2 linked regions of the Lepisosteus oculatus genome follow. The protein of the gene in region 1 interacts with the protein of each later gene in a pairwise test. Links are inferred from orthologs where the notes say so. Each region holds a gene or a part of one and is shown on either strand. Other genes may lie near its edges.

Region 1 (7,547 bases):
TAACAATAACCCCTTTGCAAAAAAGGAGTTACTATAAAAAAATGTTTTTTAGATAACTTATTACACCACTATATACTGTCTTGGCCAGTTATATTGAGCTGTAGCTATTTGTACATGGATGTGATGCATATTGGAAAAGCATAATGAATCAATACAATTTAAAGGCACTGTCTAAACATAAGTAAATAAACAGCATGGCCAAGTTAAATTAAAAAATAAACAATATCTAATTTGGTTACAGATTTCAGCATCTGCCTTAACCAATATTATGCTTCTAATTCATGAAGGCCGAGTGCCCTGTTTCAATTTTTATACAATAGATTTGAAAAGCTTTTAATTTTAAAGACCAAGTGTAGTGCTTCCATAAAGACATAGCAGTATGTGCCAGCAGGCACCCTGATCACATGACCATGAATTCATCCTGCTATGCCTGTAAACAAAATACTGTAGGGTCTAGGAGGGGTCTATTCTATGTCACAAGTCATTTTTCAATCAACATAATCAATACTCTTATAGCATTGTGAGTAAGATGGAGGCAGTTCTCCCAATTTCAAAAACCATTCTATCCCAGCTGGCCATAACAAACTTTTCATTTCCAATCGTTTGGTTTTTAAAGACATGACCTCAAGCAAATCAGGACACAATTGAGCTCAGCACAGACTTTGAATTCCTTTAATTTATGCAAAAGAAATTAGTTTGTTTTAACGACTGTGGAGCGCAACTCGCCACTGGTGTACACTATGTCTTTGCTTAACAGCAATGCGATTCTCTCTATTGCTCTAACCTTTTTCCAGCAGGGAAAGCTTTTGATCAAAATGACACCAATGCTGTGAATGCAGGAAGATTTATGTTCCCCATAATGACCTCATATCCAACCTAATCATTCAGCTCCTCCAGGGAACAGTTACATTGGCCATTAATAAAACGGGTCCCATGCTGTTTAACTAGACATCCAATTGACAAAGCAAAGCATTTAATTAAAAAAAAAAGAGATAAATATCTCTCTGCCATGATAATATTGTCCACATAACCAGCTGGTAAAATGCTGCCAACCACCGAACTCTGAAATCTAAGTTCTTGAACACTAGATAGAAACAGAACAGAGAAAAACAACCAGGTAACAAATATGTATTTAGCAATCTAAAAACTACAGACATCCACGACACACCTAAGAGTTGTTTAAAAAGTTAAGATAAAATATTTTTACTGTATACTAGACAGGTAAAAACAAAGAAAATTATGACATAAATAATGAACATAGATTACAGTTTCTACAAATAGTTTAAAAAAAACAGATGTGGTATTCCAATTCATGGATCTAACATACCATTTTCTTAACAAAAAATATACAGTAGGTAACAGCCTTAAATATTGGAAAAAAATAATTACTTTTCAAAACTCAAATGGTCACTGTAAATGACCTACTGTAATGTCTAGGTTACTGGTATACTTTGAATATGATAGCTATGGATATGACACGAATATTATACTTTGATTATGACAGACCCATCCACTATCAAAGGTTTCCGTTATCTCACTACCTTCAAAGATTTGTAAAGATTTATTTTCAATGCAAATTAGTTCTTGATAAACACGTGACCATTACATAAAAGGGTGTTAGTGTACATGAAACACCCAGTGTTTATAGAGATATGTAGAGGTCCAAAAGATATTTTACACACAAAAGCGCAACTTTACAAAACAGCACACTTCTCTGGCATAGGGAATCATGTGGTGAATCCTATGCTGAGAATCTGACTGCTTCTCTATTGTCTGTCCAGATAGAATAGTGACAGATTCCAACAAGTATGGTATGCTTCAGGTTTAAACTCACTCCCATAGATAACATCCGGCAGTAAAATACGTCTTTTTCCATCTTACAGTTCTCCATTTACCACATAAATTAGGCCTTACATATTTAGGTGTTATTTACAAAAGTCAAACGTCTTTCCCCTTGCAGAAAGCATGCAAGCACAACCCCAAATCACCATCTCCTCTGATGTACTGTAATATGCAGCAATAAAAATCCTGTTCCTCAGCCACAGAACAAAGGACTTCAGTTGTGCTCCTGATTCAGAATGTATATACATTACTTTTTCAATAAAGAGACCAGACAGTAAGCAGAGCTACTGCCTCTGATGTCTACTGTTTGATCTTCTGCAGATCCCAACAATGGGCCTTTTTATTTTTATGGTCTGAAAACTAGAGGGGAAAAATCGTCACTCGGATTTAGCATTGCACAGGTGAGCATGGAGAACTCTCCCTCACCCCGCCCCGCTCTCAAACTTTCTGAAACCTCTGCGGTAGCTTTGACTGAAGCCGACTTTGAAAACCACATCAGAGACAATCTTGCTTTCATTAAAGGGATGCTTATTATGTGACCTACAGTATGTGCTCATAAGCAATTCACAAGCTTACAGTCCCCATGTTTGTAACGGATGGGTAGTTACAGTTGCTGCCAGAAGCCGTATCTTTCTGGGAGTTGTGTGAAAGAGGGTGGCACGAAACTTGGCTACGGTTTTCCCGTTTTAAGTTTCAGTGGTACATAATTCTCTCAAGAACACGACATTACGAATGACATTTAATACCTGTTCTAACAACATTCGCTATCGAATCCATAGCGTTTTAACACCACACAGAACCGAAGTCGTTGTGATATTTAACACAAAATCACAATTTTAAGCTTTCTGCCAAGACAATGTCTGTTCGGTTCGGGTAGTACTGTATGCTCTGTGTTGACGAAACTATCGACTGCATTGTGCGTGTGTTGTTTTCAAAGACTACCGGATGAGCTAAAGTAATAATACAAAGGGCTATGTTACTAAAGTAATTATTCATAACATATCCTTAAATTACACTTGAATACATGTCAGTTACAAAAAAACAACAACACGTCTAACTCGCTTAACTAATTCTAGTAATCTCGGCATTAAATCACAGAAATGATATTAACACATAAAACGAATTCTATTAAGGGTGGTTTAATAATTTTAATTTGAATGAGAATTTTATATAAACCATGTTTGTTAACCCCCCTTGTCATGGATTTCGTTCTCGTTAGTCTCTTTATTGGCTATAAAATCTGGAGAAGTTAAAAAAATCAGACGGCTGCTTCTAAAGATTTAGTTGGCCAGGTAATTTGGAACACTCTTTACTCAATAAGCAACTTGATAATCATCGGCTTGCACTGAACCCAAGCTTAATTATGTAAGAATATAAAACAATCAAATGTAAATAGTTAAGTACAGTTATTGTTGTATAGTAATTTTAGCTAGAATTAACATTCTCTTTAAGATTGTTGGTATTAAAAAGTGTTTTAATGGAAAAATTCACCCACATTTAGACTATAAACATACTGTATAAAATCAATATCGTTAAGAAAAATTAGAAAATTAATCTGAATGATAAACATGTCTTTTTTACATGAAACTAATTTAACGGTGAACACGTGGATAAACAATTTCGTGTAGACTAATCATTGATCACGTAATAATTCACTCGCTATCAACACCTATTCTGTTTACTCGGCACATTCAGAAATGCTGTGTGCTTCCCAAACACATGCGTGCAGTTTCAGGTAAAAGGAAGGGTATGCGATTTATTTAAATCACAAATTAGTTACTTTAAAATAGCAAAGTCTTTACCTGTCATTCCCCGCTTACCGGTCATTTGTTTTTGCGCAGACAATAGTTTCTAAAGAAGCACTTTATAATTTCAAATTAACCTTCCATAATACAAACGAGTTTGGACGAAAAAAAGTAATAAAGTCCACATACGAAGCTCCCAGCATGTAGTTCATAGGTCAGAAACTTGTTTGCTAGTGATCTTCAAGTCACATTGTCAGCGCACATGATGCAATCTCAGGTGAAACTTTAAACTATGTCCACTGTCGCTGTGAGCACACAATAGCGCTAAATAACCGGATTAATTAAATAAGGTTACTTCACTGACACCTGATGAATATACATCAAGTCAAAAAAAAAAGGTGTGGCTTTTATCAGTCACAAAGGAACTGATACTCTAAAAGCACAATAGGTTAGTGTTTGATCGATATGTAATACTTTTAATTAGCTACTACCAACCAAATGGGCTGTGTAGGCCTCCTTTGAAACCTCTCTTATGTTTCAGTTTATATTAATTTTTGTAAGGTAAACCTACACTATACATGTACACCGCTGTAACCTAGAAACTCTGGCGTTTGAAACCTTAAATGTACTGTAGAAGGCTGTAGCTGATTAAGAAATGCAAAGGTGAAAACTAAAAAAACTTTGACTCCAATCGGTCTCACAGTCTCCCCTTTTGAATGTCATTGGCATTTTTCCCCTAACTGTAAGATGTAAATACAATGTGAAAACTGATGGATCATATACTGTGCATTGGCCTTTGTTCACAGTGGAAGTAGACACGACACATTGTGTATCACTGAGGTTTGTTGAAAGGAAACAGCTTCATTCAAATCACCTGCATTGTTTGCTTCCAAGACACAGTGGGATTGGCTTAGTGCTGGCTTCCTTAGCTGCAAGCATAACAAATGTCCAGGTGAAAACTTTCAAAACCTGACCTGCAGCCGATCTCACAATCTCCCCCTTTTACGCCAACCTTTTGTTCCAGTTTCAGAACCGACAGAAAGGTGAGATTCTCTGATGTCTGGTGTTTGTGTATTTCTAGAAGTAGAATGAAGTCCTGGATGATTGTTTAGCCTGGTAACCGGGGCGTGCATTGTATAATTTCAGCTTGTTTTCTCCTCTCAAAATCAATCTTTTCATTTTTTTGTCTACTTGTTTCTATTATATATTACTGGAATGTATTATAATGGCCGTTGTCAGAAATGATCACGTCTTTTACTGTTGTGTATCCTTCACAGTGATTGCTTTTGCCTTCAGATACCAGTGTGGACAAGATCCATTTTGCCAAACTAATTTATAAAGTACAGCTGTTGGCAACTGGTACAGTTACTATCTGAAATTGTGCTGTGAATACCATATCATTTTAATCTTTCTCATGGGACAAAAAGTAAAAAAGCACATGCCTTTTTTGTAGATTTTTGTTACTGCCCACAAGTCCACCCCTGGACGGGCAGCGATGCAGAGAAGTCGTCTCAAGATCGAGGAGAAGGAGCTGGACTTTGAGTTTGAGGTGGTGAATGTTCAGTTCAACGAGCTTGGCAGTTACGTGCTGAGGCTGACCGTGGAGAACCCCCTGCTGGAGGACTGTGGGACTGGCGTGCAGCTGAGGGTCAATGATGGTGACGTCCTCTACACCAGCACTGGGACCACTGATGTCATTGAGCAAGCCAGCCTGGATGAGATCTACACCTGCCTTCGCTACAAGTTTCTCTTCACCCTGCCCAAAGGTACTGCAAGCATCCACATCCTCAATCCAGGGTGATTATTACATCGTTGTGTGCATGAAAGTACAGTATGCAGCCATGTCTTAACTGATTGTCCCCTGATCCTTTTTGAATTTTTATTATGTAATATGACCTTAATTACCTTAATGGGTAAAATTACCTAATTGGTAAAAATTGTTAAATGGACAAGCTGAGACCTCTTTCCTATTCTTAAAAATATGGAGATTTTAAAGAAACCTTTCTGTAAAACCTGCTGGACTTGGGCTGTTAATGACCAGAGTTGGATCCACTACACCCCTGCTATAGTGTCAAAGAGTCCTTTTTTTTAGCCAAGTAATGTGAGTATCTTAAATGGATGAATAGGCTTGAATGCGAGAGTCGTCTTTCTACTTTTCAGCGCCAAATTAACCTGGTTGTTATATGGATATTTTTTTTGGCTGAGGCTGTGGCTTTGTGTCTAGGTGTACAGGCAGAGAACAGTGTGGTGCCACTAGGCTTATGAATGGTTTTGAAGACCTAAAACTGCTAAATGTAAACGTTTTAACTTAAGTGGCAGTGAGTTGATTGCTATGGCTGAAAAAAATAAAATCAAAATGTCCGACAATCTGCTGTATGACTGATTTAGAAATGGATAATTGTAACCTAAGAAGAATGAAATATCAGATAAAAGTACAGAATCTCTACTGGAGTGTTGTTTGCAGTTTGTTTTGAATAAATCTGGCTATGAATTGATATTCCTGATCATTTCAGCCATGCATCTTAAATCCATTAAAAAAAACTGCTGGTAAGATCTTGCTGCATTTCTCTAGAATATATCACTACTGACAAGTTCCTCTGTCTCTCACACACACCTTACAGGAGAGGTGAGAGCTCCTCTGTGTTATAACGAAAAGTTAATTAATGCATGTCACTGCTGTTTCAAGAAATTCTAATATAACACGCTTGTCTGAAATGGCTGTAATTACATGGAACACCTCTGAACATGTTCACTAACGAGCAGTGCTTTTTAAAAATAGAATAATTTTCAATATTTTTTCAAATCTGTATCCCTGTATGAAACGTTGTTTGAATTTGAACATGAGTTACCCAAAAATAAATTTGAGAAAAGATTTAGAAATATCATATTGGGGATATTTGGAAAGTTAAATGGTTAATTGGTAATAGTTAAAATATAGGGAAATGTGATAATATTATTTTTTTATTGTCCTCTGAAATCTTCATTTTTGTAATGGCAACATTTTTAAGATCAATCGTCTGGTGTAAAAAGGTGTTTCTTGCCAGAAGAAAATTGCGTTCAGAGATTTTTTGCAGTTTAATTTTTTTTTTTGCTGTCGTCTCCAAATTTGATCTTGTCATGGTTTAATGCGGGTCTTATGTAAAGAAAAAGAAATATGATTATCGCAATAAATATTTTAAAATGGTTCCCTTTTAGCTTAAAAAATTCACATCTGACTATTGCTTCATGGTTTATGAATAGCTCCAAGCCTCGAACTTGAGAAAGTGAGACACAGAAACTAGATTCACAGACCATTAACGGGCTCCGTTGACTCCTCATCCTGACCAAACAGATGCAAAAGATGTGGATCCTGATGATTTTGTCGGATGCTTGCTTTAATTCGGGAATTTGGAATTGGAATTCCAGTTTGTGTTGGTTCTTCCTTGTACATTTCCAGGTTTCTGCAAGAATGATAAAAACCACGACGTCAGGCTGAAGGTCGAGGCCTTGCGGCTCACAGGCTTGCAGCCGAGCAATGGCACCAAATCCGGCGAAGCTTTCTTCGCCATCTACCCGCGCACCAACGCGCCCCGCAGCAACCTGTACGCCCGCCGGGACGAGGAGCTGTACCAGTACAGCGGCATCATGGCCCTGCTGCGCGTCCACACCGACTACCTGGCCATGCACTGCGGGCGGCTGGCCTACGCCGTCTCCTTTCACGAGTCCAGGCCGCTGCCCGAGGGCCGGGCCAGTGCCTCCCGCATGCCCTCCATCCAGGAGGAGGACAAGGGCGGGGCGCCTTCACCGGGTCCCTCGACTCTCCAGGTGCCTCCATTAACCCTCGGGCCCTCCCAGTCCCCGTCCCCCGAAAACACCCCGCCTCAGCCCACGGAGCCTGCGCTTCCTCAGCCTCCAACTCCCCAGGTAGAGAAACGGCCCCACTTGAACCTGCTCTGAAAGTGACCAGTCCCGCTGCGGTTG
Region 2 (6,965 bases), on another chromosome or scaffold:
GCCTGTTTTACAGTGTAGTGTCCCCGTCACTATACTGGGGCATCAGGACCCACATGGACCGCAGGGTGAGCGCCCCCTGGTGGCCCCACTAGCACCTCTTCCAGCAGCAACCTTAGTTTTTCCCAGGAGGTCTCCCATCCAGGTACTGACCAGGCTCACACCTGCTGAGCTTCAGTGGGTTGCCTGTTGTGAGTTGCAGGGTGATATGGCTGCTTGGCTTGGAATGAGATTGTGAAACAGTGGGTTTGGGAACGCAGCGCCGTTTGCGAAGGAGAGTGTGAGACGTGACACTTTTCCTTCTTTTTCTTTTTCCGAAAATCACAGGGTTGGTCACAACAAGCTGAGAAGTAAAACACACACAATTGCTGATTCCAAATCACAAGGGTACCTCAAAAGAGTCTAGATTTGTATGAATAAATCCCAGTTGAAGAGTTTCTTTACCTTGAGAAGGCCACTTGTGGCTGTGGTCTTTGAAGAGCCCAAAGTCCCTGTGGACCCTGGCTGCTGTGATTCCTCTCCAGTCACATCCATGGGCAGGCTGTCGGCCCTCTGTCTCTGATGCTGCGCTAACTCACTTCTGCTTGTAAGAAACTGAGATGTGTGGGAAAGCCCTCAGAGAACAGCAAAAATCAAATCCGCTACTTCAGAACAGGACTTCTTAAAAGGCTAGTGGAGGACATCAACGTAATATAATATAAACAACTGTATATTAGAAACACAGGCAATGCAGCATTTATTGAAAGCCAGCAGCTCACGGCTTCTGTTGCTAACTGAACAGCTGGTTTAAAAATAAACAAGTGAGTTACAGTACATGATCTGTTCATTCACATTCACCAGTTTAGTTTCCCACCACACAGGACAATAAAAACTTCCCGAAAACATTAACCACAATGAAGTATAATAGTACCATTAATTGTAGTAAAAGAAACCCCTCACTTTAGTAGTTACTTTTAATTTTCTTTTTGCTTCGTGCAATATTATTTCTTTGTGAGACTTTATTGTTTTAACTTTTAGTTGTCCTCTTATTATTCGTTTGTAAGTTTTGAGTCTTCATTTATTTCTTGTACTTGCCTGTGTGTATTTATATTTCATAATTACTGCTAACATTAAAAAGTTCAACTTGGAGAAGAAAGGAGTTTCATTTCAGACTTCCAGACTTAACAATTTCCATTTTTTGTTAACAAATACTGATAGAATGAATCTTACTCACATGTTTATTATTCTTATTCAAGTGTTCGTTACTTGTCCTAAGTTTTTAGTTTTTTTAAATGAAACAACTAAAATTTTAGAATTAATTTGACAATTTCCATTTCATTTATGCTCCAAAATTTTTTAATTGGTGACTTTTCCCATTTTATACTGATACCTTTTTAAATTAAAACTGTTTTATCAATTTAGTCGTATCAAAAATACGTTGTTAATATTGCTCTGTTTTCCGTATTGGACTAAGATAACATTAGATAATCTTAGTATGGAAATACTGACATTCAAAATGGCAAGTATACTGGATTTTCAAAAATGTAGGATTTGATACATTTCAGTTTATATTGAAATGTTTATAATAAAAAAATGTTTATTTCTGTATAGTACTGTATGATTATACATTGTAGAAATTTCCTAAGTACTGTATATAAACTAGCTATGAATTAATTGATGTTTAAGTCTTTTTTTTTGGGGGGGGGGTTCTACCTTTTGTATTTTTTTTTGCTTTGTTAATGCTTGGAATACATGGTGAAAAAGTTTCCATTAACCCTCTTGGTCTCCTTCCCACAGGACGAGGAGACTCGGGCTCCATTCAGACTGACTGAACCAAGGGGCAGCTGCAAAGTGGAAATGGGGTGGGGTAGGGGGTGCTTGTTACAGATAGTCCATTTAGAGCGCTTTACAGGTAATGGGGACTCCCCTCCACCACCACCAATGTGCAGCCCCCACCTGGATGATGCAACAGCAGCCATAGTGCGCCAGTACACTCACCATACACCAGCTATCAGTGGGGAGGAGAGCAGAGTGATGAAGCCAATTCAGAGATGGGGATTATTAGGAGGCCATGATTGGTAAAGGCCAGTGAGAAATTTGGCCAGGATGCCGGGGTTTTCGAGAAACATCCTGGGATTTTTAATGACCCCGGTTTTACGTCTCATCCAAAGGATGGTGGCTTTTTACAGCATAGTGTGCCTAATACTGGGGCATTAGGACCCACACAGACGGCAGGGTGAGCTCCCTTATTGGTCCCCCTAACACCTCTTCCAGCAGCAACCTTAGCTGGTCTTCAATCCAGGTACTAACCAGGCTCACACCTGCTGAGCTTCAGTGGGCTGCCAGTTGTGAGTTGCCGGAGGATATGGCTGCTGGCAGAAAGGGAGGTATTGGAGTTCAGTATATTCAGCCAATTTCTGTAATGATGGTGATTAATTCCAGCTGTGTGAGATTGATTTGTCATTGTTTGCCCTCCTGAACTTCAGTTAATAACTTATATACTGTAAATGAAATGTAATTCTGTAAATACTAATATAATCAATTTCAAAAACAAATATTGTGGTTCTCCAGCCACTATGTTATTTAGTCAGGGACCAGTACTTACAGCACATTTCACCCTTATCTTATCCACTGTATTTTGTAAAGTTTTAGAAAGAAGTAAGACAGTTGTCCATCAAGGAGTAGTTAAATGCCACTGAAGAAACAGAACAAACTGCGGAAAAGTATAGTGACTTAATGTAGCACCACATACAGAATATAGCAGGACACCCACCCACTTTTGACAGGTTTGGCTCATTGTACCCTCACTCATAAAACTCTCCAAACATAACACATTTAAAACATAGAAAAATCAATTGATTAAGCAGCACAGGATTAATTCCTTAACCCCATTTTGCCCGCGCTACAGTCTTCTTAGTTTTGAAATAGCTTTGCTGTAGTATGCAATAATTTAATCTCCGTTTCATACAATGACAATTGTTCATGAATGGGACCATTCGCAAACTGTGCTATGGTTCCAAATGAATTTTGGCTATTAAATATGTTGTAATTATTGAATACTTAATATATTGTATTGTAATTGAATACTCCGTAACTACTATTGAAAATGGATACATTTTCAAAACAATATAAACCGTTTTTGCATAGCCAGATGTTTATTTGGAAACGTGTTGACATAGGATGTCCACAAATATATACTGTCTGAACCTACACGTGCATTCTATCAATAATGGCAAACGCTAACTGGGTTTTAAACAATACAGTACTACGCTTGCCCTCCCCAACATCTCGACAACAGCCATAACCTTTAGAAACTCACAACTGGCAACCCACTAAAGCTCAGCAGGTGTGAGCCTGGTCAGTACCTGGATGGGAGACCTCCTGGGTAAAATTAAGGTTGCTGCTAGAAGAGGTGTTAGTGGGGCCAGCAGGGGGTGCTCACCCTGCGGTCCATGTGGGTCCTAATGCCCCAGTATGGTGATGGGGACGCTACACTGTAAACAGGTGCCGTCCTTCGGATGAGATGTAAAACTGAGGTCCTGACTCTCTGTGGTCGTTAAAAATCCCAGGGCGTTTCTCGAAAAGAGTAGGGGTGTTACCTTGGCCAAATTTCCCATTGGCCCTTACCAATCATGACCTCCTAATAATCCCCATCTATGAACTGGCTTCATTACTCTTCTCTCCTCCCCACTGAGAACTGGTGTGTGGTGAGCGTTCGGGAGCACTATGGCTGCCGTCGCATCATCCAGGTGGGGGCTACACACTGGTGGTGGCGGAGGGGAGTCCCCATTACCTGTAAAGCGCTTTGAATGGAGTGTCCAGAAAAGCGTTATATAAGTGTAAGCAATTATTATTATTATTACTATTAACATGAAATGTGTGAAATGTGTGAATGAGAGTTACTGTGTGTTTAAAACAGAGGCGGGGTCTCTCCAGTCGATGACGCGCTGGCCGCAGGAGGAATTTCTCTACCCGGAAATCATCTGGAGGTGAAGATAAAGCGAGAGAGACGGGAGAGAAACGTTTAAAAGGACGGAGATATAACATTCTGTCCCACGGTAACGTTAGATCCAATGTGTTTTCTTTCGGTGGCGGTCTAAATCATTCACTGCACGAGATTATATCCGACTGGTTATAGATTTAAGTAACAATTCCTCTTCCCGGTAGACCCTGCTGCTGCTACTACAATGTTAGATGCTGTCGCTATGATTTAAAACTGCGATGTACGTGCCACGTTAGCATTAAACCATATAGGTCTTTGCGTTCAGCCCAAAGTGGGATGTTTTATATGCGCACTGTGTAAGTTTTTTTTATTTCAAATGAATGTGCGGAATTTACACCCGTGTCGTAACACGCACGTTCACATAAGTAATATGTCATTTGTTTTTAAATAAGGGCTATGAATTATTCACGATGGAGCGCAACCGATGGGTTCAGTTACAGTTAATGCATAAAAGGGTAGTTTCTTTTAAGCGCCACCTTAATAGAAACGCTACATATTGAAGTTTCTTGTGACATAGAAACCGTGTTTTAAGGAAAAGTTAATTTTTATAGTATTGTTATTTTGGTACTACGTTACTCATTTGTAGTAAAAACCAGCAGGAGACAATCGTGTGCATCAGTCAGCACAGCTCTTGACGCGCTCAAATAACAAATTTGGTTATTTTTAGTCATCGTATTACATGTATATTCATTCAGTACTATTACTGAAATGATTTGAAGAAATAATTTACAAACTTTCAAATATACTAGAAAATGTCACTGTGATCCAGTATTCTATGGATCGTGGATAATGTGTATTCATCACAAACACGAGTCTTGCACCACTCATTTTATACTTTGTTTATTCAGTTAGATATCTCTTTATGCATGTGTTCAGAAAGCCTGGCTATTGGTTGTTAGGTCAGCTCGTCAATAGAAGAGTACTGGTTCACAGTTTGGACTGGCATCATATGTACAGTAACTGCATGTTATTCCAATGCATAAACAGGATGTAGTATTAGTGTTTAGGGAGTGTAGTCTTTATCGGCTAGTCCTGGTCAGGGAGATTCACACAACTGTGTGTTTTTGCTTCAGCCAAGATGAAAGTTACACCATTTAATGTGTAATTGACTTGATAACAGGGTGGATTTGAACTGTGTGACTGTTTTCTGCTTTAAGACCTATTGAAGATAGACATTTAAAGTACTGCATTTTCCTCATTAAGATCAAATCCCAAACAAACTCTTGAGTCTGGGGAGGGGGGAATACTTGTGCGATTGTTACAATCCAGCAGTTTATTCATTCAATAAAGGCTTCTAGGAGGTCATTAAGCTCAACTGGAATGAAGATCGGCAGGTGTGTGAGATTGACCACCCCTGGACTCTACAGCCTGCACCAGCAGTCGGAGCAGCTGTGAAGCAGTGATCCAGGGTAGCCTCCTGACAGTAAACCAAGCTCTTGGGTTTCCAAATGGATTCTTTAATTGACCTAATAACACGATTGATTCAAACCATTTGATTTGTTTTTAGCTCTTTAGTGTGTAGGTGGTTGCCCTTTAACTACTGCATTTCATTGCCATAAAATAAAAAAGTAGAACAACAAAAAGAACTTTGACAGATTGGCAATCGAGTGCCTCGTTAGTTCCGTTAAGTCATTAAGCTCGGCTGGAGGGAAAACCAGGAGGAATGTGTTCTGAGACGGTAGTGGTGAAAGCTTCCTGGAATAGGCATTTTGAGGAAAAACGCCACATCTCTTCAAAATGAACCCCTCTTCTGAGAAGAGGATAAATAGGGATAGCATCCCATATTTTAAACAATTTTAGGTGTTACCTTTTTTGTTAGTTGTCTCTAGTTTAGAAAGCATAAATCTTTTCTTGTCTTGATTTAAATGCCTTTAAAAGAGATGGTCTGCCTTTCGTTTATCCTGTCCTAGCATGCAACTGGTGCAAGGCAGGACACGCCCCGGGCTGGATGCCAGTCCAGTGCAAGGCAGGCAAACAGACGCAGAAGAAGACGTGCACACACTCACGCTAGGGCCTGTTTTAGCTCCAGTATTAATTAATTAACCCTCCAGTATATCTCTGTGGGAGGAAACTGGAGAACATACGAACTCCACACAGATAGCACCGCCGTTTCAGAATTCAACCCAGGGCCCCAGCAATTTGAGGCAGCAATGCTAACCATTGAGCCCCTGTGCCATCCCCAAGAGGAAACTGTCATTTTAAAATATAAGTTTAGATTCCAAAAGAGAGTCCTCTGCCTCTGAAGTCAAGAGGTTGCCCAGGGCTAACATCTGAACTGTGCTGATCAGCTTCGACGTCCTGGCTAGCTGCTCTGCCTGTGTGGTTCGTGAATGTAGCACTCGCTCGAGTAAATTAACACTCTTGAAGCCAGTTTTTCTGCTTTTGCACGAATGATCTAGAACCCATGTGCTCTTTCTTTCCTCAGTGATCAAAGGATGTTACAGGGACCATGGGCCATGCCATGTGTATCTGCTCCAGAGGAACTGTCACCATTGAGAACAAGCGCTATTACTTCATCCAGAAACTAGACGAAGGGTAGGGAGCACCGGCTGGGCTGGGGTCTTCCCTTGGGGCCGTGATAGTGGATCAAACAGAAAAGAGGAACAAAATGGAGGGCAGTGGGTGACGGTTGGAGACCGTTCCCTCTCAGCTATGTCCGTGCGTGCGCGCACACAGGTTATACAACCAGGAAATTAAACTGCACACAAAAAATTAAATTCCCCCTAAAGTCCGATGATAAAACAAACACGGTCATCAATTGAAAAATGCTTAATTGACCACATGAGACAGCAAGAGGTCCAGCTTGGCTGTGTGCGCATTATTATTGCTACTCGATGACCGACATCTATGCTCTCGTAGTCTCGTACCTCCCTGCTCATGCAGGGAGCCAAGCCGACTGGGCTCGGTGAATCACTGTCCTGGTCTTTTGGATCTCTATGCTTCTATGCTTCTATGAGGATGACTATATTAACAAAAAATAATTTCA

What was found.
Region 2: the proteins of ccdc33 (region 1) and stk16 interact in a two-hybrid assay, tested with the Homo sapiens proteins (2 studies listed by BioGRID and IntAct). The two-hybrid records come from large-scale screens. The link is inferred for Lepisosteus oculatus from reciprocal best matches to the Homo sapiens genes CCDC33 and STK16.

Annotation. Positions count from the first base shown.
Region 1 is NC_090700.1:59,239,102-59,246,648, forward strand, and holds the start of ccdc33 (coiled-coil domain-containing protein 33), read left to right. Parts: upstream 1-4,529; 5' UTR 4,530-4,630; intron 4,631-5,040; 5' UTR 5,041-5,082; coding exon 5,083-5,353; intron 5,354-7,023; coding exon 7,024-7,490; intron 7,491-7,547.
Region 2 is NC_090707.1:32,206,119-32,213,083, reverse strand, and holds the start of stk16 (serine/threonine-protein kinase 16), read left to right. Parts: upstream 1-3,925; 5' UTR 3,926-4,034; intron 4,035-6,404; 5' UTR 6,405-6,428; coding exon 6,429-6,514; intron 6,515-6,965. Other genes in the region: uncharacterized protein c2cd6, read right to left, coding at 442-531. UniProt on the Homo sapiens protein: Membrane-associated protein kinase that phosphorylates on serine and threonine residues. In vitro substrates include DRG1, ENO1 and EIF4EBP1. Also autophosphorylates. May be involved in secretory vesicle trafficking or intracellular signaling.